Anolis sagrei: one gene and its partner. The protein of the gene in region 1 interacts with the protein of each later gene in a pairwise test. Links are inferred from orthologs where the notes say so. Each region holds a gene or a part of one and is shown on either strand. Other genes may lie near its edges.

Region 1 (10,821 bases):
TGCTGGGTCTATGGATACTCTACAGGCATTATTGTACTAATTTTAATTTGTATGTTCCATTGAGTGCCAGTTTTGGGGGAATGGTTGGATATTAAGAAAGATAATAACAACAGCAATAACATCTTCTTTAATGTAAGAGTTTTAGGCCCGCCCTCTCGAGTTGCAAAAGAAAAAAGAACTTAATCCATTTAGTCACTGATTGTTCTAAACCACTCAACAAATTGTCTCTAGCTGCAGAATATGTGGCAGAAGAATTGAGGTATGCAGTAAAACAAGTGGAAAATAAGGATGAATAAGCATAGAAAAGCAGGTTCCCTTTCAAAAGCTAGTTTGATCATCCCAAAACAAATGGAATAGAATCCTAAATCAATGAATATTAAATAAAAATGAGCAGGAGTCATTATCACAACACAAATAAAACTAAACATTCTCCAATACTTAAACAAATAATGTTAAGAAAAGAGAATCAAGTACCTATTTTCATGTCAATTCATTTATTTAGAGAAATTCTACAAATACCATGGACCACCAACAAAACAAACAGGCAGGTCTTAGAAGCAATCAAATTTGAAGTCTCCCTTAAAGGCAGAAAATAACTGAACCAAGGTTATTATACTCTGGACACATCACGAGATGACACGACTCACTAGAAAAGATGTAAATGCTTGGTAAAGTGAAGGTAGTACACTAGGCACTCCATTTCCATGTGAGTTAGGGACATATCCTAATACAAAAGCTGTGAATAAAAAACCCGCTAATTTTCTTATGTGAGAGAACAGATCTTTATGAATCTCTAGGTCCTCCAGGGCTATTCAATTGTCAACTTTTGGAGGACCAATAGATTCCTAGAGATAATGTTTTAATGAAATCTGCAAAAAATCACATCTACAAAAATTAAACCTGCACATGTGGAGGGCCCATCTCAAATCAAATTGCTGGTGGGTTGACTCAATCAAGAAAGACAGGGCTCTAAGTCTGCAAGACCAGAGCTGGGCAATTAATAACCAAGTCTCTTGGAGATCTCTAATTCATAGCGTCATCATATGTCCAAAACAAATTAATGAAGCACAACCACAATGCCAATTCCATAATACACACCAGCATGAGAATGGAAAAAGCTAACAATATTTGAAATGTTTTCCAGCTGCTCAGAAAATCAGCATATTAATGTCACAAAAACCTTAGCCTCATGCATGACAACTTTAGAATGCAAGCCAGTCAACCATATTTGTTCAATAATTTCTCACAGTTGATGTAAGGCACTATATAAACACTAACAGTTAAAGTCTGTGCCTATCCACTTGGAAATAAGTCCCACTACATTCAACAGGGCTTTCTTCCAAATAAAGATTGCATAACTACAAAAGACTTTCAGTTAACTGGCACTATGGGGATTGGTAGATACTGGATAAATATAGTTTCTAGTTGCTTGAGAGTTACTATTAAAAAATAGACCTAACTAAAATAAAATCTCTATTGCCTCAATATTAATATTGAATACTGTAATGAAAAGCAAATTAAGACAAAGACAAACTTAATGTAACACAATTTTACTGTATTATACAAAAAGCTTTCTAAATGTTATTATTTCTTTGATTCCTTTTGCCAGTTGCTTGAGAGTTCTGGTTGCTTGAGTTCCAGGGCCCTTCCAGACAGGCCCTGATCCCAGGGTTTCTGCTTTAAACTGGATTATATGAGTCCCTACTGCCAGATAATTTGGGATAAACAGAAAATCTGGGATCAGGTCCTGGGATATAGGGCCTGTCTGGAAGGGCCTTGAGAGTCTACAGTATTACTAACTGCCCCTAGGAAACCAAATCTGGCCAACATTAAACTCAAATGTATCACAAGGATAAACAAAAATTATACAATCTGGAAAAAAAAATTTATAGGAAATTAAAGACCCTATTAACCTGAAGGACAATTCAAATTCAACAAAAGTTTCAAGTCCTCTTTTAGTTGCTATGACCCAAATCATTACAATCTGCTGTAACATTGGTTTCGGTTGCGGTTCAATGGGATCTCTTCGGACTTCTCACCTACTGGCCTGCATTAGATATGCCACTGCAACCTCTACTGCCTGTTTTTTAAAAAGTCTTATTGGGAAAGAACAGAAATACAACTCTTCAGTTTTATGCCCAATGAGATACAGCTTTGCTCCAGAGAACTATATGTGGATAGTAACATAGAATAGTAGCCTCGATGCAGGTGAAACATCGGGAGAGAATGCCACTGGAACATGGCTATACACCCTGAAAAACTCACAGCAACCCAGTGATTCCACCCAGGAACGTCTTCGACAACACAAAGCGATGTATCTGGCTCAATACACTTCTCACACATTAGGGGAAAATGTTCTTATGGAGAAGCAGCTAAGCAAGATGCTGTTCTAATTTTTTCTTTAACATGGAAGGATCATTTTTAGCAACAATCTTCAATGCACCTAAGGAGCTATCTGAGGGGCCCTTCCACATAGCCCTATAACCCAGAATTTCAAGACAGAAAATCCCACAATATCTGGGTTATCAGAGTCTACGCCACCATATATTCCAGTTCAAAGCAGAAAATGTGGGATTTTATTCAGCTGTGAGGGAGGACTCTGAGTCCACTTTGGGGAGATAAAATGGGGTATAAATAAATATAAATAATAATAATAATAATAATAATATCTGTGCAAATGAAAACCAGGGTCGACCCCTTTGGAATGCAATCCGTATTTTTTCTCCAGTTTGTAGAAACACTTTTATTTATTATTTAAAATTATTATTTATTTAAAACTTTTATATCACGATCTTCTCTACCTCTGCAGAGGGACTCAGACTGGCTAACAGCAAGGATTCAATGCTAACACTGAGAATCTAGGCATAATACACAATATTAAATTATCAATTAGATATAAAAATTACATAGGTAAAGGTTGTCCCCTGACATTAAGTCCAGTCATGTCTGACTCTGGGGTGTGGTGCTCATCTCCATTTCTAAGCCGAAGAGCCGGCGTTGTCCATAGACACCTCCAAAGTCATGTGGCCGGCATGACTGCATGGGGCGCCATTACCTTCCCACCAGAGCGGCACCTATTGATCTACTCACATTTGCATGTTTTCGAACTGCTAGGTTGGCAGAAGCTAGGGCTGACAATGGAAGCTCACACCGCTCCCCAGAATCGAACCTGTGACCTTTTGATCAACAAGCTCAGCAGCTCAGTGCTTTAACCCACTGCGCCACCAGGGGCTCCAAAAATTACATAGGTTACATAAAATTACATAGAAGCCGTTCACCAATATAAAATCATGTCCAACTCAATCCGTATGTCCAGCCCATATATTGTGATCAGTACCAATAGTCGATTGCTGGCCTCAAACATCATTCCGCAAAAGCACTGTTGCACAGCCAGCTTCCTAAAGGTCAGGAGGGAGGGGGCAGATCTAATTTCATTTGGGAGGGAATTCCATAGCTGAGGGGCCACCACAGAAAAGGCCCTGCAGAAAGTAAAAGCCCTTGCAGAGAGTCAAGGGCGGTACACCACCTTGTGTCTCTGATGATTGGAGAGGGCAGGTACCGCAGGCCTAGGCAATCCAGGTTTTTTGGACTCCAACTCCCACAATTCCTAACAGCCTTTAAGCAGCAGAGGGGGGAAGAGAAAGAGTCTGAGTTTGTTAGGAATTGTGGGAGTTGGAGTCCAAAACAACTGGAGGGCCCAAGTTTGCCCAGGCCTGTATTAAACGACCTGCGTTGTTGCATAAAGCGCCTCAGGAGGGCCTTTTCAGGCCAGCAAGGTTCCTGAGAGTAGCCTTAGAGACGCCTCGTTAAGGCCATTGCGTTTCTTTTGAGGCCTTCCCTCCCTGCCTCCCTCCCTCGAGGCCCCACCTTCCCTGGACTCGGTTCCGCCCTCGGCGCCACTCACCGACCGGCTCCCTCCTCCTCCTCCTCCTTCCCTCCCAAGAGGCCCCGTCCGGCTGCCTGCCCTCCTGCCTGCCTGCCTGCCTGCCCACCCCCGCGGTTTGTTTGGTTTCGAACCGAAAGAGTTCCGAGCGGGCGGCCTCTGAGGGAGCCCAGGCAGGCAGGCCCCAGCTCGTGACGTACTTCCGGCAGCCGGCACCGCTACAGGCACCACGTGACACCGCGTCGGCGCGTAGAGGACGCAGAGTATCGAGAGGGAGGTACGGGAGGGGGGTGAGTCTCTGTGTGAGGGAGCACGCATGCGCAGGAGAGGGGTTCCGCGGGGCCCGCGACGTCACGCGGCGCAACCATGGCAACCAGGCTCTAAATATATAAGTAGGCTGGGTGGGAACACGAAACCGTGCAGGCCTCTCTCTCTCTCACCCAGAATATCAAGGCAGAAAATCTCACAATATCTGCTTTGAACTGGGTTATCTGAGCCCACACTGCCATATATCCCAGTTCAAAGCGAGATAATGTGGGATTTTATCCAGCCTTGTGGAAAGGGCCACAGATAACCCAGTTATCCTTGGTTAGACCACATCTGGAATACTGTGCCCAATTCTGGGAGATGTTGATGTGGAATGTGTCCAGAGGAGGGCAACTAAAATGATCAAGGGTCTGGAGAACAAACTCTATGAGGAGTGGCTTAAGGACCTGGGCATGTTTAGCCTGAAGAAGAGAAGGCTGAGAGGAGATATGATAGGTAAAGGTAAAGGTAGTCCCCTGACATTAAGTCCAGTCATGTCTGACTCTGTGGTGTGGTGCTCATCTCCATTTCTAAGCCGAAGAGCCAGCGTTGTCCGTAGACACCTCCAAGGTCATGTGGCCGGCATGACTGCATGGAGCGCCGTTACCTTCCCGCCGGAGCGGTACCTATTGATCTACTCACATTTGCATGTTTTCAAACTGCTAGATTGGCAGAAGCTAGGGCTGACAGCGGAAGCTCACGCCGCTCCCCGGAATCGAACCTGTGACCTTTCGATCAACAAGCTCAGCATCTCAGTGCTTTAACCCACTGTGCCACCGGAGGCTCTGGAGATATGATAGCCAGGTATATATGTGAGAGGAAGCCACAGGGAGGAGGGAGCAAGCTTGTTTTCTGCTTCCTTGGAGACTAGGACGCGGAACAATGGCTTCAAACTACAAGAGAGGAAATTCCATCTGAACACAAGGAAGAACTTCCTGACTGTGAGAGCCGTTCAGCAGTGGAACTCTCTGCCCCGGAGTGTGGTGGAGGCTCCTTCTTTGGAAGCTTTGAAACAGAGGCTGGATGGCCATCTGTCAGGGGTGATTTGAATGCAATATTCCTGCTTCTTGGCAGGGGGTTGGACTGGATGGTCTATGAGGTCTCTTCCAACTCTATGATTCTCTGAGATGTTGATGTGGAATGTGTCCAGAGGAGGGCGACTCAAATGATCAAGGGTCTGGAGAACAAGCCCTATGAGGAGCAGCTTAAAGAGCTGTGCATGTTTAGCCTGAAGAAGAGACGGCAGGAAGAAGATACTGTGACGGCGCAGTATCTCCTGTAGAACTGTGGAACTGTTAGTTGCAAGATTTAAACTGTTGTATCATGCTTAATCCCGCCTTTTTACCCTGCTTATGTATAGTTGGATTGATTGCTTATTTATAGCTGTCAATCAGTGTTGTTTGCATCTGTTGAATTGCTTTCTCAAGCTCAATTGTTTGGCTCCACCTCTTCCTGGAGGAGGGGAGTGCTTCCTCCTGTTTTCATTCTGCCATCAGAGTTTCTATCAGATGGACTTGAGTAAGAGACTTGGCTCTAATAGCCCCTGATTAAATTACCTCTCAGCACCAATTCTAAGGTTTTTTACCCTTGGGACTCATGCTTTATGTCCAGATTGTCCTGGACAACATTGAGGAGACCCAAGTGCCTTCAAACCGGTTCTTTTGGCACCAGAGGAAGGTCTTGTCCCTTCAACATAGGCCATTGGACTGGGGTTGTGTTTATTCCGATATTCACAGCCATTGAGGAAAGAGGAAACAGGAAAAGCTTCTCAGCTGCAAACTCCTTGGACTTCAGAGATTGTAAAGTATATTTCCTTTATCCCTGTTGAAACATCAAGCTTATGCCTGAGAAAGATAACTCATTGTGAACAATGAATACAATTTCGAGTTATCTGTTGTGTTTTGGTCTTTGGGAGTTCCAGTTTCCTATAGGAGGGCAAGAAGCAATCCCCTGGGGAAAGATGCCACGTCCATGCCTCTTTCACTAAGAGTTATAGCCCGCAGGCGCGACGGCACAGATACGATAGCCATGTATAAATACGTGAGGGGAAGGCCTAGGGAGGATGGAGCAAGCTTGTTTTCTGCTGCCCTGGAGACTAGAATGCGGAACAATGATTTCAAACTACAGGAAAGAAGATTCCACCTGAACATTAGGAAGAACCTCCTGACTGTGAGAGTTGTTCAGCAATGGAACTCTCTGCCCCAGAGTGTAATGGAGGCTCCTTCTTTTGAGGCTTTTAAACAGAGGCTGGATGCTCAGGGGTGCTTTGAATGCAATTTTCCTGCTTCTTGGCAGGGGGTTGAACTGGATGGCCCATGAGGTCTCTTCCAACTCTATGATTCTATTATTTATTTGTTATTTATTTATTTATTTACAGTATCTATATTCCTCCCTTCTCACCCCACAGGGGACTGGGGGCAGATTACAATGCACATCTACATGGCAAGCATTCAGTGCCATTAGACATACAACATATATAGATAGACACAGAGGCAGTTTAACATTCCAGCTTTCCGGCTTCATGAGGTTATGCTCGATTCTGGCCACGGGGGGGGGGGGGGGGGCTGCCGCTTCTCCGACCTCCTGTGACACCGAGTCCTTGATGGAGCACTTCCTCATTCTTCTGCATGCTGCTGGAAGGTTTTATGGTGTCGTAAATTAGTCTCCCCGCATAGAGCGGTACCTAAATTTCCTACTTGACAGATGCAACTGTCTTTCAGGCTGCACAGGTCAACAGCAAGCTAGACTATTAATGGTCGGGAGCTCCCTCCGACACAGGTTGGCTTCGAACTCATGACCTCTCAATCAGGAGTGATTTAATGCAGCTGGCTACTAACTAGCTGCACCACAGCCCGGATTTTCTGCTTTAATATTCTGCATTCAGTGTCTGTGTGAAAGGGCTTTCCTACCAGGCCCTATATCCCAGGATCTGATCCCACGTTTTCTGTGCATTCCAGATTATCTGGAAGTGCGGACTCATTTATGTCATCAGTTGGGGGTCCCTCCCCCCAGCACCAACTGCGGCTCTGGGCCAGAGTGAAGAGAGAGGAGGCCAAAAGACAGTTCCACCTTGTCTCCTGTGCTATGCTAATAATATAATATAATGTGATGTAATACAATATAATACTACTAATAATATATTATAAATATATATTTTATATTACATGTAATATTACTAATAATATTACAATATAATGGTATAGTATGATATAGTAATATATAATACTGATATTGTACTATACTAATATATAAAATATTGTGTGTGTGTGTGTGTGTATGTGTGTGTGTGTGTATAAGCCGCTCTGAGTCTCCCCTTCAGGGTGAGAAGGGCAACATATAAATGTCGTAATTAATTAATTAATTATATAAAATCTGGCTTAAAGCAGAAAACCTAGAATCGGATCCTCGTATATAGGGCCTGCCTCGAGTCCACACTGCCGTATTACCCAGTTCAAAGCAGATAATGTAGGATTTTGTACAACTGTGTGGAAGGGGCCTTTGTATATTTCAACACTGGGTCATACTGTGAAATACATACATGGCCTGCTTCTGTACTCAGGCCCCATCTCCACCACTATACAATGCATTTTAACTACATTGGACCGGATTATATGGCCATGTGGGCTCATCTAATCCTGCTCAATATGATTAAACTAAATTCTGAAGCTATATAGATGAAGACACACTAGATGCATGTACACTGTGGAATGAATGCAGTTTGAAGTCACTTTAACTGCCCTGGCTCAATGCTATCAGATCCTGGGAGTTTTACAAGGTTTTTAGCCATCTCTGCCAAAGGGGACTTCACTAAACTACAAATCCCCAAAGTCCATAGTCTTGAGCCATGGCATTATGTCTACAGTATAATATGTACCCAGAAAGACACCTTCGCTTTGGTGTACTGAAGCACTTTCATGCACAAAGTAATTAAAAATATTGTATAAGAAATTGCCTTTGAGTTATGTGTACAAGGTGCTTGTGAAGTCAAATTGATTTCGTGTTAAGACTTGGTTTCCATCTCCCATGATATCTCATTATGCACATATATAAACAAACACAGGTATTCCAGAATTTAGAAAAGAAATGTGAACTCCAGTGTGGAAGTCGCATGGTTCGCAGTCGGGTCTTCGGAAAAATCAGAACTAATCATAGACTTAGAAAAGACACCCCAAAGGCCATTGAGTCCAACCCCATTCTGCCATGTAGGAATACACAAAGTCTCCACAACAAATGAATTTCAAGAAACATAGGATATTACACTTCGGTGGCAAAAAATGGAAATGCATAGATACAGGATGGGTGATGCCTGGCTCAACTTCAGTCCAAGTGAAAAAGATCTTGGGAGTCGTAGTTGAACATGACCCAGTATGATGCAACAACTTAAAAAGCCAATGGGAATTTTGGGCTCCATCAAGATCAAGGGAAGTTATGTTGCCTCTATATTCTGCTTTAGTTAGACCTTATTTGGAGTGCTGTGTCTAGTTCTGGGCACCATAGGTGAAAAGAGATATCAACAAGCTGGAAGGTGTTCAGAGGAGGGCGACTAAAACGATCAAAGGCCTGGTGACCATCAATACCCATGAGAAGTGGCTCAAAGAACTGGGTATTTTTAGCTTGCAGAAGAGGAGGTTGAGAGAAGACAGGATATCCATGTATAAAATATGTGAAAGGATGTCATAAGGAAGAGGGAGCAGGCTTGTTTTCTGCTGCCCTGGAAACTAGGACAAGAAAGAAGATTCCACCTGAATATTAGGAAGAACTTCCTGACTGTTAAGTGCTGTTCAGTGGTGAAACTCACTGCCTCGGAGTGTGGTGGAAACTACTTCTTTGGAGGATTTAAACAGAAGATGGATGGCCATTTTTCGTGGGGTGCTTTGATTATACTTTTCATGCATGGCAGGGGGTTGGACTGGATGGCACATTTGGTTTCTTCCAACTCTATGATTCTATTATTATGGGTTGGCTTTCAAGAATCCCATCTGACCAGAAAGGATTCTTATCATGTTATTTTGTTGCTGCCTCATAACCCCTTCCTATCTCATTGGTCTATCTGTTTCATCCTATGTGTAACACTTTGAACCACATTTAGGAATCCAAGGCCAAAATGTTTCTTTTGCATATGTAAAGGTAAAGGTTTCCTCTGACATTAAGTCTAGTCATGTCTGACTCTAGGGGATGGTGCTCATCTCCATTTCTAAGCCAAAGAGCTGGCGTTGTCCATAGGCACCTCCAAGGTCATGTGTGATCTACTCACATTTGCATGTTTTCGAACTTCTAGGTTGGCAGAAGCTGGGGCTAACAGCGGGAGCTCCCCATGCTCTCCGGATTCGAACTGCCGACCTTTCGGTCAGCAGCTCAGCGGTTTAACAAATGGTAATGAGTTGTGCAGGTTTTAATCCGATAAGGACTGGGTTGTGGCGCAGCTAGTTACTAGCCAGTTGCACTGACCAAGAGATCATGAGTTCGAAGCCAGTCCGGGTCAGAGTAAGCTCCCAACCATTAATGGTCTAGCTTGCTGTTGACCTATGCAGCCCGAAAGGCAGTTGCATCTGTCAAGTAGAAAATTTAGGTACCACTTTATGCAGGGAGGCTAATTTAACTAATTTACAATGCCATAAAACCCTCCAGCAGCATGCAGAAGAATGAGGAAGTAAGTATTCCATCAAAGGATCCTGTGTCACAAGTGGATGGTGAAGCGGCAGCTCCCCCTGTGGCCGGAACCAAGCATACCATCATGAAGCTGGAAAAAACTGGAATGTTAAATTGCCTCTGTGTCTGTCTATATATGTTGTATGTCTAAATGGCATTGAGTGTTTGCCATGTATATGTGCATTGTAATCCGCCCTGAGTCCCCTGCAGGTTATAAATACTACAAATAAATAAATATTGTTTAATGTGCTCTATTCTTGCTCTAGAGATCCTTGAATAAGTTGCAATTCAAGAGTTTAGAATAGTCACGCAAATCAAGAAACATAGCAGTTTGGCACAGAGAGCAATGCCACTTTATTCTCACACAAATATAACAAAGCCACTCTAGCTGGGACATTCGCTTACATAAAAGGCACAGTAGTGTGTAGCTAGGTCCCTCGCCTGCTCTTCTAGGTACTGTTCTCCTTGCTTTGGAGCTGGATGTTTTTAATTCAAGATGTTTCAAATAATATGAAAAAAAACAACAGAACATAGCATGGGAACCTTTCCTTTGGTATATCAAGTGCTTCCATATCCCCTGCTCTGGGTGCTAGTTGGAAAGCATTTAGTATAAGGCACCTTGGTGTAAGGCAGGTATGGGCAAACTTTGGCCCTCCAGGTGTTTTGGACTTCAACTCCCACAATTCCTAACAGCCTACCGGCTGTTAGGAATTGTGAGAGTTGAAGTCCAAAACACCTGGAGGGTCAAAGTTTGCTCATGCCCTGGTGTAAGGTTTCTGAGGAAACATAGGAAGCTGGGATGTGGACAAAAATGACCCATGTCAAGCAATGCAGGGAAAGAGTGCTCCAGGCACTCACTAGAGGAGTCTGCCTCAAGCTGGAGTACTCTTGAGTGTGCTGTACTACAAGTCCCAGAATCCCATAGCTGGGTATGGCATTCTGGGAGCTGTAGCCTAATAATCAGGAGAGAGGGGACCAATTTG
Region 2 (10,335 bases), on another chromosome or scaffold:
GATTGAAGGCAGTTCAAAAAACAGTTTAAATTACGCATAGTGCAAATGCAGATAGGAATGCATGTTAGACACCTTAAACCAGGATAAGCAAAATCAGGGACTAACCTAAAATAGGATCCATAATGTACATCAGCCAAAAAATCCAAACCCTGAATCTTCTATGGCAGGCATAGGCAGACTTCAGCCCTCCAGGTGTTTTGGTCTTCAACTCCCATAATTCTTAAAGGCTGGTAGGAATTGTGGGAGTTGAAGTCCAAAACACCTGGAGGGTCAAAGTTTGCCCATGCCTGTTCTACAGTAATGAAGCCATGGATCTTGGAAATGGGTCAGAAACTCTATTCTGCCTTGGTTAGACCACACTTGGACTACTGTGTCCAATTCTGGGCACCACAATGCAAGAGACCATCAGAAGCTCATGTTAGAAAGTAAGAAACTGTTGAGGCTTGTGCTTTATTTGAAAGTAAACTCTTACTAAAGAGAGCTGTATAAAGCAGCATAGTCTTTGAAGAAACTGTTAAAGATTATAAGTTCAAGATACAAACTCTCTGAAATGTTACTGAAGTATTTCACCCTTGACAAGAAATGTGCCTGTATCTTTAAATACATGAAGTTATCAGTAAACAAACCTTGTTATCTTTAAAAGAAGTCTGCTTGCATCATTGTCTGCTGAAAGCACCAAACAGAAACAAAATATCTACATGCCCAGTGATCATTCATAACCAAATAAGCTCTGCTCCCCTGATGGTCTGTGATCCTAACAGGTCATGATCCATTATCCCCAATATGTGCTGCTATTTGGAAATACATAATTCTCTCTCAACATGTTCTAGAAGATTCCTCAAGATATTCACCATTATATCCTACATGTGGGCAAACTTTTAAAAAAATAGCACATATAGTTATGACCTTTTCAATACGGAAATATCTGTGTAACCGGTTTGCTACTATTTGTTAATTATCATTGTTAAGCTACTTTTGACATTGTTTGTATTTTGAGTTCTTTTATCTCCCTAATTATTATCTCCCCACCCAAACATGCATGACCTTTGCAGCTTTCTTTGCATCCAAGGCCACATTCCTCACCTATGAGAATGAGTTTGAAGTCCATGAAACCATACACCAGATGAATTGCATTAGTGATTAAGGTTCACAGAGACCTCATTTTTGTTGCTTTTTAAATAATAACAATTATTGCTTTTAAATTTATGTCTGTACATACATCTCAGAATGCTGTGCAAATCTATGTTCTCTCTTTTTCTGTGGGGTGTTAAGTGGCCACATTGGGAGGAGATTATCTAGTGTCTTCTGTAGTAAAGGCACAAAGGTAGATCAGAATGGGAATTGTACAGCACTTGAGATGATTTTGAACTGTAATTTCCAAGAGTTCAAGTTCAAGTTCACTTTATTACAGTCATTACAGTCAGCTCATCAGAAGAGTTCAAACCAATAGTGTCAATGGAGACAAATACTATGTTTTACAGTCCAACAACATCTAGAGGGCCTCTTGACTCCCACGCCAAAATAAATCTATACCTGAGTTAGAGACAGGATACCCAATCTGCTGTTATTGTGTGCCTGAAATGTATTTCTGACTTATGGTGAACCTATCATGGATTTTTCTTGGCAAGGTTTGTTCAGAGGGAGTTTGCCTTTTTCCTTCTCTGGATGCATGTGTGACTTGACCAAAATCACCCAGTGAGTTTCCACTGAGCACAGATTTCAACCCTGGTTTACCAATGTTGTAGTCCAATGCTCAAGCTACTACACCTCATTGGTTGTCTTTCCATCTGTTACCTAGTCACAAAATACCATTTACATCAGGCATGGGCAAACTTCAGCCCTCCATGTGTTTTGGACTTCAACTCCCACAATTCCAAACAGCCTCAGGTCCTTTTCATTTAAATGGCTGAGGGGGGAAAGGAAGAGGTCTGAGGCTGTTAGGAATTGTAGGAGCTGAAGTCCAAAACACCTGGAGAGCCAAAGTTTGTCCTGATCTACATTCTATTCTTTGTGGAAGCTCAATCTAAAAGCCAGCAACCTATTTCTGAGTGGATCCAGAACAATTATTTCACATCCACTTAAACCACTGCTAACATGACTCACTTCTTCAGTAAGAATGGTTAAATGCACAGGAAAATGGGAAAATCAGAAAAGAGATATAACCTCAGCCAAGTCAAGTGTTGGGACACTCAGATTAATGCTGTTCATTCAACTGAATGCTTTTGCCTTCCAGATCTGTAAACACAATGGTCAGGTTTGAATTGGCCAAAGTTTCAAGCACTTTTTGAAACTTCAGCTCACAATGCTCCCAGCCAACAGGGTCACTTGGAGCTACAGTCCAAACAAATATCTTTTCCCAGAACTGACCCAGCTGTCACAAAAAAGTATCTCTGCAATAAATCAGAACCATTGCTGTCCCTGGATTGGTTTTGCTCTCATTCTGTTTACTTCCTGTTGGAGGAAAGAACATCAACAACATCTTGTGTAAGTATTGTATCATTTGTCAAATAACCATCAGAAATATTTTGGTGTCCCTGAATTTGCAGGTAACAGTTTCATGACAAGAAACTAAATAGTTTTACTGGTAATTGTTGCAAACTAAATTGATTTAACAGTGTGTATTCAAGATGCTACTGAAACAACTGGAAATCCTTTCACATTGAACTTAAATTTGCGCACTAAAATAATAGAGGATTGGCTGCTGAAGATGTACAACCTAGAGGAAATGCACAAACTGACAATTCTCATTATGGATGATACAACAGAGAAGTTTAAGCAAGATTGGCAACTGGTGCTTCATACCCAAGGGTGCATTTACACCGAAGATATAATGCATTTTGACAACACTTTGCCATGGCTCAATGCTATGGAACTATGGTAGTTGTAGTTTTAGAAGGTCTTTAGCTTTCTCTGCCCAAGAGTGCACTCTCAAACCACAACTCCCAGGACTCTGTAGCATTGATCCATGGCAGTTAACGTGCATTAATTCTACAGTGTTTTCTGCTGCACTAGAAATTACAGTGCAAAGTAGTGGAGTCCAACTATAAGAAGAGATTCCACCTAAACATTAGAAAGAATCTCTTGATGGTAAGAGCTGTTCAGTCATGGAATATGCTGCCTTGGAAAGTGGAGAGGTCTCCTTCTCTGGAACTTTGTAAATAGAGGCTGAAAGGCCACTATTGTTTATTTCTGCATAATAGAGTTGGACTGACTGGCCTTGCGGTCTTCTCAAACTCTGCGATTTTCCAGTTTCACCACTAACACAACTAGGTTGCAAGTCCCATCATTCTTAGCTATACTGGCAAAGAGTTGTACCTAAGCATCAATTGGGAATTGAGACTTGGGAATACTGTGTAAACAGAGTTCGGATAGTCATCTGTTGGGCTGTTGTAGGTTTTTCAGGCTATATGGCCATGTTCTAGAAGAAAAACTAAGGAGCAGGCCTAGTTTCCAACAGACCCCACAACCTCTGAGGATGCCTGTCATAGATACAGGCAAAATGTCAGGAGAGAATGCTTCTATTACATGCCTATATAGCCTGAAAAGACTACAACAACCCAGTGATTCCAGCCATGAAAGCCTTCGACAATACATTGAACATCTCTAAGGGGAGAAACTGTTCCAAGACACACAAAATTTGGAAAAACTAAGGAGCAGGCCTAGTTTCCAACAAACCTCACAACCTCTGAGGATGCCTGCCATAAATGTGGGTGAAACATCAGGAGAGAATGCTTCTAGAACATGGCCATACAGCCTGGAAAATCTACAACAACCAGTGATTCCAATCATGAAAGCCTTCGACAATACATTGAACATCTCTAGGAGGAGAAACTGTTCCAAGACACACGAAATTTGGAAAAACTAAGGATCAGGCCTAGTTTCAAACAGACATCACAACCTCTGAGAATGCGTGCCATAGATGCAGGTGAAACGTCAGAAGAAAATGCTTCTTTACATGGCCATATAGCCCGAAAAACCTACACACAACGGGTTAGGGTTTCACCATCAAAGAACTCTTACATTCCTTCTATATTATTTGTCTCCAACCTGGCTTACATTAGCTAAGTCTCTCTTGTCCAAACAGCGCTCCCAAAGGAGTGATGCGGCATCTCCGTAATGCTTGGAGCTTCCAGACCCAGCTATCATACTATTACAGTGGTTTTCAACCTGTGGGTCCCCAGATGTTTTTGGCCTACAACTCCCAGAAATCCCAGCCAGTTTACCAGCTGTTAGGATTTCTGGGAGTTGAAGACCAAAAACATCTGGGGACCCAGAGGCGGCCCTAAGTAATTTTCAACGGTAAGCAAACAGTATTTCCCCCCCCCCCCCAACCAATCATTGATATATATTTTCTGTTTGTCGTGGGAGTTCTGTGTGCCATATTTGGTTTAATTCCATCATTGGTGGAGTTCAGAATACTCTTTGATTGTAGGTGAACTATACATCCTAGTAACTACATTTGCTGCACTTGCTCCCTTGCCTGGCCCGCTTTGGGTCTGGAGGCATGCCCCGGCGTGTGCACCAAAAGTCACCTCTTCTCCTGACTTTCTCCTCAGCCATTGGGACCAAGAGAGAGAGAGAGACAGAGGTGGAGATGCCCACCTTTCCTGAAGGTAGGCGCAAAAACAAAGGAGGGAGCAGAGGTGGGAGATACCTCCAGCCGGAGGGTCTCTCTCTCTCTCTCTCTCTCTCTTGGTCCCAATGGCTGAAGAGAAAGTCAGGAGAAGAGGCGACTTTTGGTGCGCACACTGGGGTCTCAGACACGCCTCCGGACCCGAAGCGAGCCAGGCGCGGCGGCTCAGCCCCTTGGCCTACCCGCGGATTGGGGAGAGGAGAGGAGGTGGGTGGAGCGCCAGGGGATCGGGAAAGGGAGCCGGTCATGGGGAAGGGATCGAACACGGAGAACGATTGAGCGCCGGTTCTGCTCGCACACCCGGTGGCCAGGTGGAGAAGGAACGAGAGAGGCGAGGCTCAAGGGCCCGGCCCCTTTGAGAAGAGGATCGCCCGGCAGCGAGGCAAGAAAGCCGAGGCTCCCCCCGGACTGCTAGGGCTGTTGTGAGCTGAGGGGGCGCTCCTCAAGTGGTGGTGGAGGGGCATTTACAGAGGTGCCTCTGCGCCCCTGGCAAAAAAAAAAAGTGTTCTGCGACCGCTTACTTTGCGTAATGGACAAGCCGCCCCTGTGGAGACCTCAGGTTGAGAATCACTGTACTATTAGGAAGCGCTGACCTACAACATCCCAACAGTACAGCTGTTTGGGAAGCCTCTGGGCTGCAGGCAAGCAGGCAGGGAGGCAACTGGCCAGCAGGTGGCGCTCAAGGAAGCCGTATTATTGGGACTCCGCTGCGCCACCCGACTTCTAGAAGATCGCTCGCCTCTTCCCTCCTCGTTTCCTTCCCGGCGGCAAAGCAGGCGGTTCTTGCGACAGGGAAGGTGGCCGCTGCGTGCTTGTGGTTGCGCCTGGAGACAGGCAAGGATCGCGGGCGCAGTCTGGGGCGCGCTGGGTGGGTGGCTTCGACGCCGCCCCCTCTTTCCCTCCTTCACTGACGTCAGATCCAGGTTCCGGGGTGGGGAGAGAAGCCCAGAAGGAGCCACGCGCAGTGGGAAGGACCCTGCGCTCGGGCTGGACGGCGGGCTCTGCTCGGCACGGGGCTGCTGCGTCCTCTTTGGGAGCTTCCCATTTGACGGGTTGTTTTGGCAACATCTGGCTCGCTTTCCCCTCCCTCCCCCCGGAGCGCGCGCCTCGGGTTGCGTCCCCTTCCCTTCCCTTGCTTGCCTCGCGCCCTTCGATGGTTGGCTCCGGCCGAGATGAGCCGCCCGTCCTCCGCCGGACCCAGCGCTAGCAAAACCTGCGGCAAGCAGCAGCAGCCCCAGCAGCAGCCGCCGCCGCCACCACACGCTCCGGCTCCGTCTCCAGCAGCGGCTGCGGCGCCTCCCGCTACCAACAACGCTGCCGCCATCTCTGCGGCCGGAGGCGGCTCCTCCGCCCTGCCCAGCACCGCTGCCGGGCTCTCCAGCCCCGGAGCAGGAGGAGGGGGAGGCGGCGGCAGCGGGGAAGGCGGCGGAGGGGGCCCGGTGTCGTCGTCCTCCTCGTCCTCGTCCCCGCAGCACCACGAGCTGACCTCGCTCTTCGAGTGCCCCGTCTGCTTCGACTACGTGCTGCCGCCCATCCTGCAGTGCCAGGCCGGGCACCTGGTCTGCAACCAATGCCGGCAGAAGCTGAGCTGCTGCCCCACGTGCCGGGGGTCGCTCACCCCCAGCATCCGCAACCTGGCCATGGAGAAGGTGGCCTCGGCCGTCCTCTTCCCCTGCAAGGTAAGCCAGAGAGGGAGGGAGGAGGCGCTCTGACCACTTCGGGCACTTTCAGGCTCAGCAGGAGCCCAAAGCTGCGCCTATAGCAGACCTGGGCCAACTTGGGCCCTCCAGGTGTTTTGGACTCCAACTCCCACCATTCCCGACAGCCTCAGGCCCCTTCCTTCTCCCCCTCAGCCGCTTATGGGCAAACTTGGGCCCTCCAGGTGTTTTGGACTCCAATACCCACCTTTCCTAACAGCCTCAGGCCCCTTCCTAATAATAATAATAATAATAATGGGCCATCCAGGTGTTTTGGACTCTAACTCTCACCATTCCTAACAGCCTCAGCCCCATTCCTTCTCCTCCCCTAGCCACTTATGGGAAAACTTGGGCCCTCCAGGTGTTTTGGACACCAACTCCCACCATTCCCAACAGCCTCAGGCCCCTTCCTTCTCCCCCTCAGCTGCTTATGGGCCAACTTGGGACCTCCAGGTGTTTTGGACTCCAATACCCACCGTTCCTTACAGCCTCAGCCCCCTTCCTTCTCCCCCTCAGCCGCTTATGGGCCAACTTGGGCCCTCCAGGTGTTTTGGACTCCAATACCCACCGTTCCTAACAGCCTTAGGCCCCTTCCTTTCCCCTCTCAGCTGCTTATGGAAAACTTGGACCTTCCAGGTGTTTTGGACTCCAACTCCCACCATTCCTAACAGCCTCATGCCTCTTCCTTTCCCCTCTCAGCTGCTTATGGGAAAACTTGGGCTGTCCAGGTGTTTTGGACTCCAATACCCACCTTTCCTAACAGCCTCAGGCTCCTTCCTTCTCCCCCTCAGCCACTTATGGGCCAACTTGGGCCCTCCAGGTGTTTTGGACTCCAACTTCCACCATTCCTAACAGCCTCAGACCCCTTCCTTTTCCCCCTCAGCCGCTTAAGCGAGGATCAGTACTGCTCTTCTTGTGTCATCCTTTGAAAGGAAGAGCCAGGCAAATAGAGTGACTGTGTCCCTATATTGCAGGCATGGGCAAACTTGGGCCCTCCTGGTGTTTTGGACTTCCACACAGCACCCATAGCCTAGGCCTGCCATAGACTCATTATAACTTACCTGACTGAATCATTGGTTGATAGAGGTGATTGCTGTTTTCCAATCATTGTCTGTTGGATACAAATATGATCTCAATCCACAGAAGGTTCAACCTGTGGATGCAGAGGGCCAATTGCAAGTCCCACTGAATTCAGTAAGGCATAGAGTGCATCTACCCCAGGCTTGGGCAAACTTGGGCCCTCCAGGGGTTTTGGACTCCAACTCCCACCATTCCCAACAGCCTCAGGCCCCTTCTTTTTTCCCCTCAGCAGATTATGGGCAAACTTGGGCCCTCCAAGTATTTTGGACTCCAATTCCCACCTTTCCTAACAGCCTCAGCTCCCTTCCTTTTCCCCCTCAGCCACTTATGGGTGAACTTGGGCCCTCCAGCACAGGACCCCCACAAAAGTGGAGAAACAACACATTTTTTAAAATGCATTTTTTTCTGACAGAAGATTTCTCTGGGTCCTCCAGCCCAACTCCTGTACAACCACAGAATCACACTGGAGGATGTCTAAATGCCTAGAGAAGAGTTCCCTCTAGAAGAGACATGGGCAAACTTTAGCCCTCCATGTGTTTTGGACTCCAACTCCCACCATTCCTAACAGCCTCAGGCACCACTTAAGTGACTGAGGGGGGAAAGAAAAGGGTCAGAGGCTGTTAGAAATAGTGGGAGTTGGAGTCCAAAGCACCTGAAGGGCCCAAGTTGGCCCAGGCCTGATCTATCAGGTCTCTAGATCTAAGAAGTCATCCCCACCCCACTCTATGAACTTCCTCACCTGCGATGCTGTTTCATCACAATTCAAGAAAGATATAGATGGTCCCTGAGTTGCAAACATCCAACTCACCATTAAGAATGGGGGTGAAACAGTAGGAAGTGATCGAAATCTACCCCTAGGAAAGGCAAATCACTCCTGGTTGACTTATTATCATTGGGAAAAAATGTCTCCTCTCAAGCTTTATCACCAAGGAGCGCTGTGAATTTTCTGGGCTGTGTGGCCATGTTCCAGAAGCATTCTCTCCTGACATTCCATCCACATCTATGGCAGACATCCTTAGAGGTTGAGTGGTCTGTTGGAAACTAGGCAAGTGAGGTTTATATATCTGTGGAATAATGTCCAGGGTGAGAGAAAGAACTCTTGTCTGTTAGAAGCAAGTGTGAATGTTGCAATTGACCACCTTATTAACCTTGTAACGCCAAAGCCTGGCTGATTCCTGCCTGAGGGAATCCTTTGTTGGGAGGTGTTAGCTGGCCCTGATTTTTCTTGTCTGGAATTACCCTATTTATTGAGTGTTGCTCTCTATTTACTGTCCCTCTTTTAGAGGTTTGTTTTGATACTGATAGTCAGATTTTGTTCATTTTCATGGTTTCCTCCTTTCTGTTGAAATTGTCAACATGCTTGTGAATTTCAATGGCTTCTCTGTGTAGTCCGACATGGTGGTTGTTAGAGTGGTCCAGCAGTTCTGTGTTCTTAAATAATATGCTATTTCCAGGTTGATTCATCAAGTGCTCTGCCATGGCTAACTTCTCTGGTTGATTTAGTCTGCAGTGCCTTTCATGTTCCTTGATTTGTGTTTGGGCCTTCCACAGATATATAAACCTCACTTGCTTAGTATTCCAGCGAACCTCACACCCTCTGAGGATGCCTGCCATAGATGTGGGTGAAACGTCAGGAGAGAATGCTTCTGGAACATGACCATACAGCCTGAAAAATGCACAGCAACCAAGTGATTCCAGCCCTGAAAGCCTTCAACAACATATTTATCACCAATCCTTGTTTCCACAACAAGCCCAATTTTTCAAAATCCAGTTCTCACAGGGACAGAAAGCGAGGTGAAATCTTCTGAACAGGGTCATCAAGAGCAAAACAAACACCACAGGAATGTTAACCCTTCCCTATGCTAACCACAGCTATATATATATATATATATATATATATATATATATATATATTTGGCTGGACTTACACTCAAAAAGGTAAGTGTTTTGATTTACATACAAATTCAACCTAAGAACAAACCTACAGAACCTCTCCTGCTTGTAATTTGGGGACTGCCTGTATTGGCAAGGAAAAGGTGGGCTGGACCATGCAACTGTCAGGTGGATTGGGGATTGGTTGAGCGACCAAACACAAAGGCGGCTCCCTCGTGGTTCCTCTTTATCATGGGAAGAAGTGACCAGACCACAGGGTTCTGTCCTGCTGTTCAGCATCTGTATCAACAGCTTGGGTAACGAAATACAAGGCATTCTTATCAGATGTGCAGATGACACTAAATTGGGTGGGATAGCGTATAACCCAGAGCTTAGGATCAGACTAGAGAACTTAACAAAATTTCTTTCAACACTTAGGCAATGAAAACAAAATGTACAAATATCGGATGGGTGGCACCTGGCTTGAAAACAGTCAATGTGAAAGGGATTTAGGAGTCTTGATAGACCACAAGCAGAACACGAGTCAACAGTGTGAAGCTTTAAAAAAAGTCTAAACCAGGCCTGGGCATACTTGGGCTCTCCAGGTGTTTTGGACTCCAACTCCCACCATTCCCAACAGCCTCAGGCCCTTACTTTCCCCCCTCAGCCACTTAAGTGAGGATCAGTACTGCTCTTCTTGTGTCATCCTTTGAAAGGAAGAGCCAGGCAAATAGAGTGACTGTGTCCATATATTGCAGGCATGGGCAAACTTAGGCCCTCCATGTGTTTTGGACTTCAGCCACAGCACCTATAGCCCAGGCCTGCTATAGACTCATTATAACTTACCTGGCCGAATCATTGGTTGATAGAGGTGATTGTCGTTTTCCAATGGTTTCATTGCCAGTTGGATACAAATAGATGGAGATAACTTGACTTTCAAAAGGATTCTATAGCATCCTTTCATTTCTTATGATCTGGAAACAAAACCTTGAAAACTCTGCAGAAAAATGTCTCTATTCCAGCACAAGGTAATTGTGCTCAAGACTGCAATTG

Evidence for each region.
Region 2: the proteins of USP19 (region 1) and SIAH2 interact in a two-hybrid assay, tested with the Homo sapiens proteins (2 studies listed by BioGRID). The link is inferred for Anolis sagrei from reciprocal best matches to the Homo sapiens genes USP19 and SIAH2.

The regions. Positions count from the first base shown.
Region 1 is NC_090022.1:27,934,981-27,945,801, reverse strand, and holds the start of USP19 (ubiquitin carboxyl-terminal hydrolase 19), read right to left. Parts: upstream 4,108-10,821; 5' UTR 4,084-4,107; exon of another isoform or gene 3,905-4,083; intron 1-3,904. UniProt on the Homo sapiens protein: Deubiquitinating enzyme that regulates the degradation of various proteins by removing ubiquitin moieties, thereby preventing their proteasomal degradation. Stabilizes RNF123, which promotes CDKN1B degradation and contributes to cell proliferation.
Region 2 is NC_090023.1:241,453,001-241,463,335, reverse strand, and holds the start of SIAH2 (E3 ubiquitin-protein ligase SIAH2), read left to right. Parts: upstream 1-5,333; 5' UTR 5,334-5,805; coding exon 5,806-6,312; intron 6,313-10,335. UniProt on the Homo sapiens protein: E3 ubiquitin-protein ligase that mediates ubiquitination and subsequent proteasomal degradation of target proteins.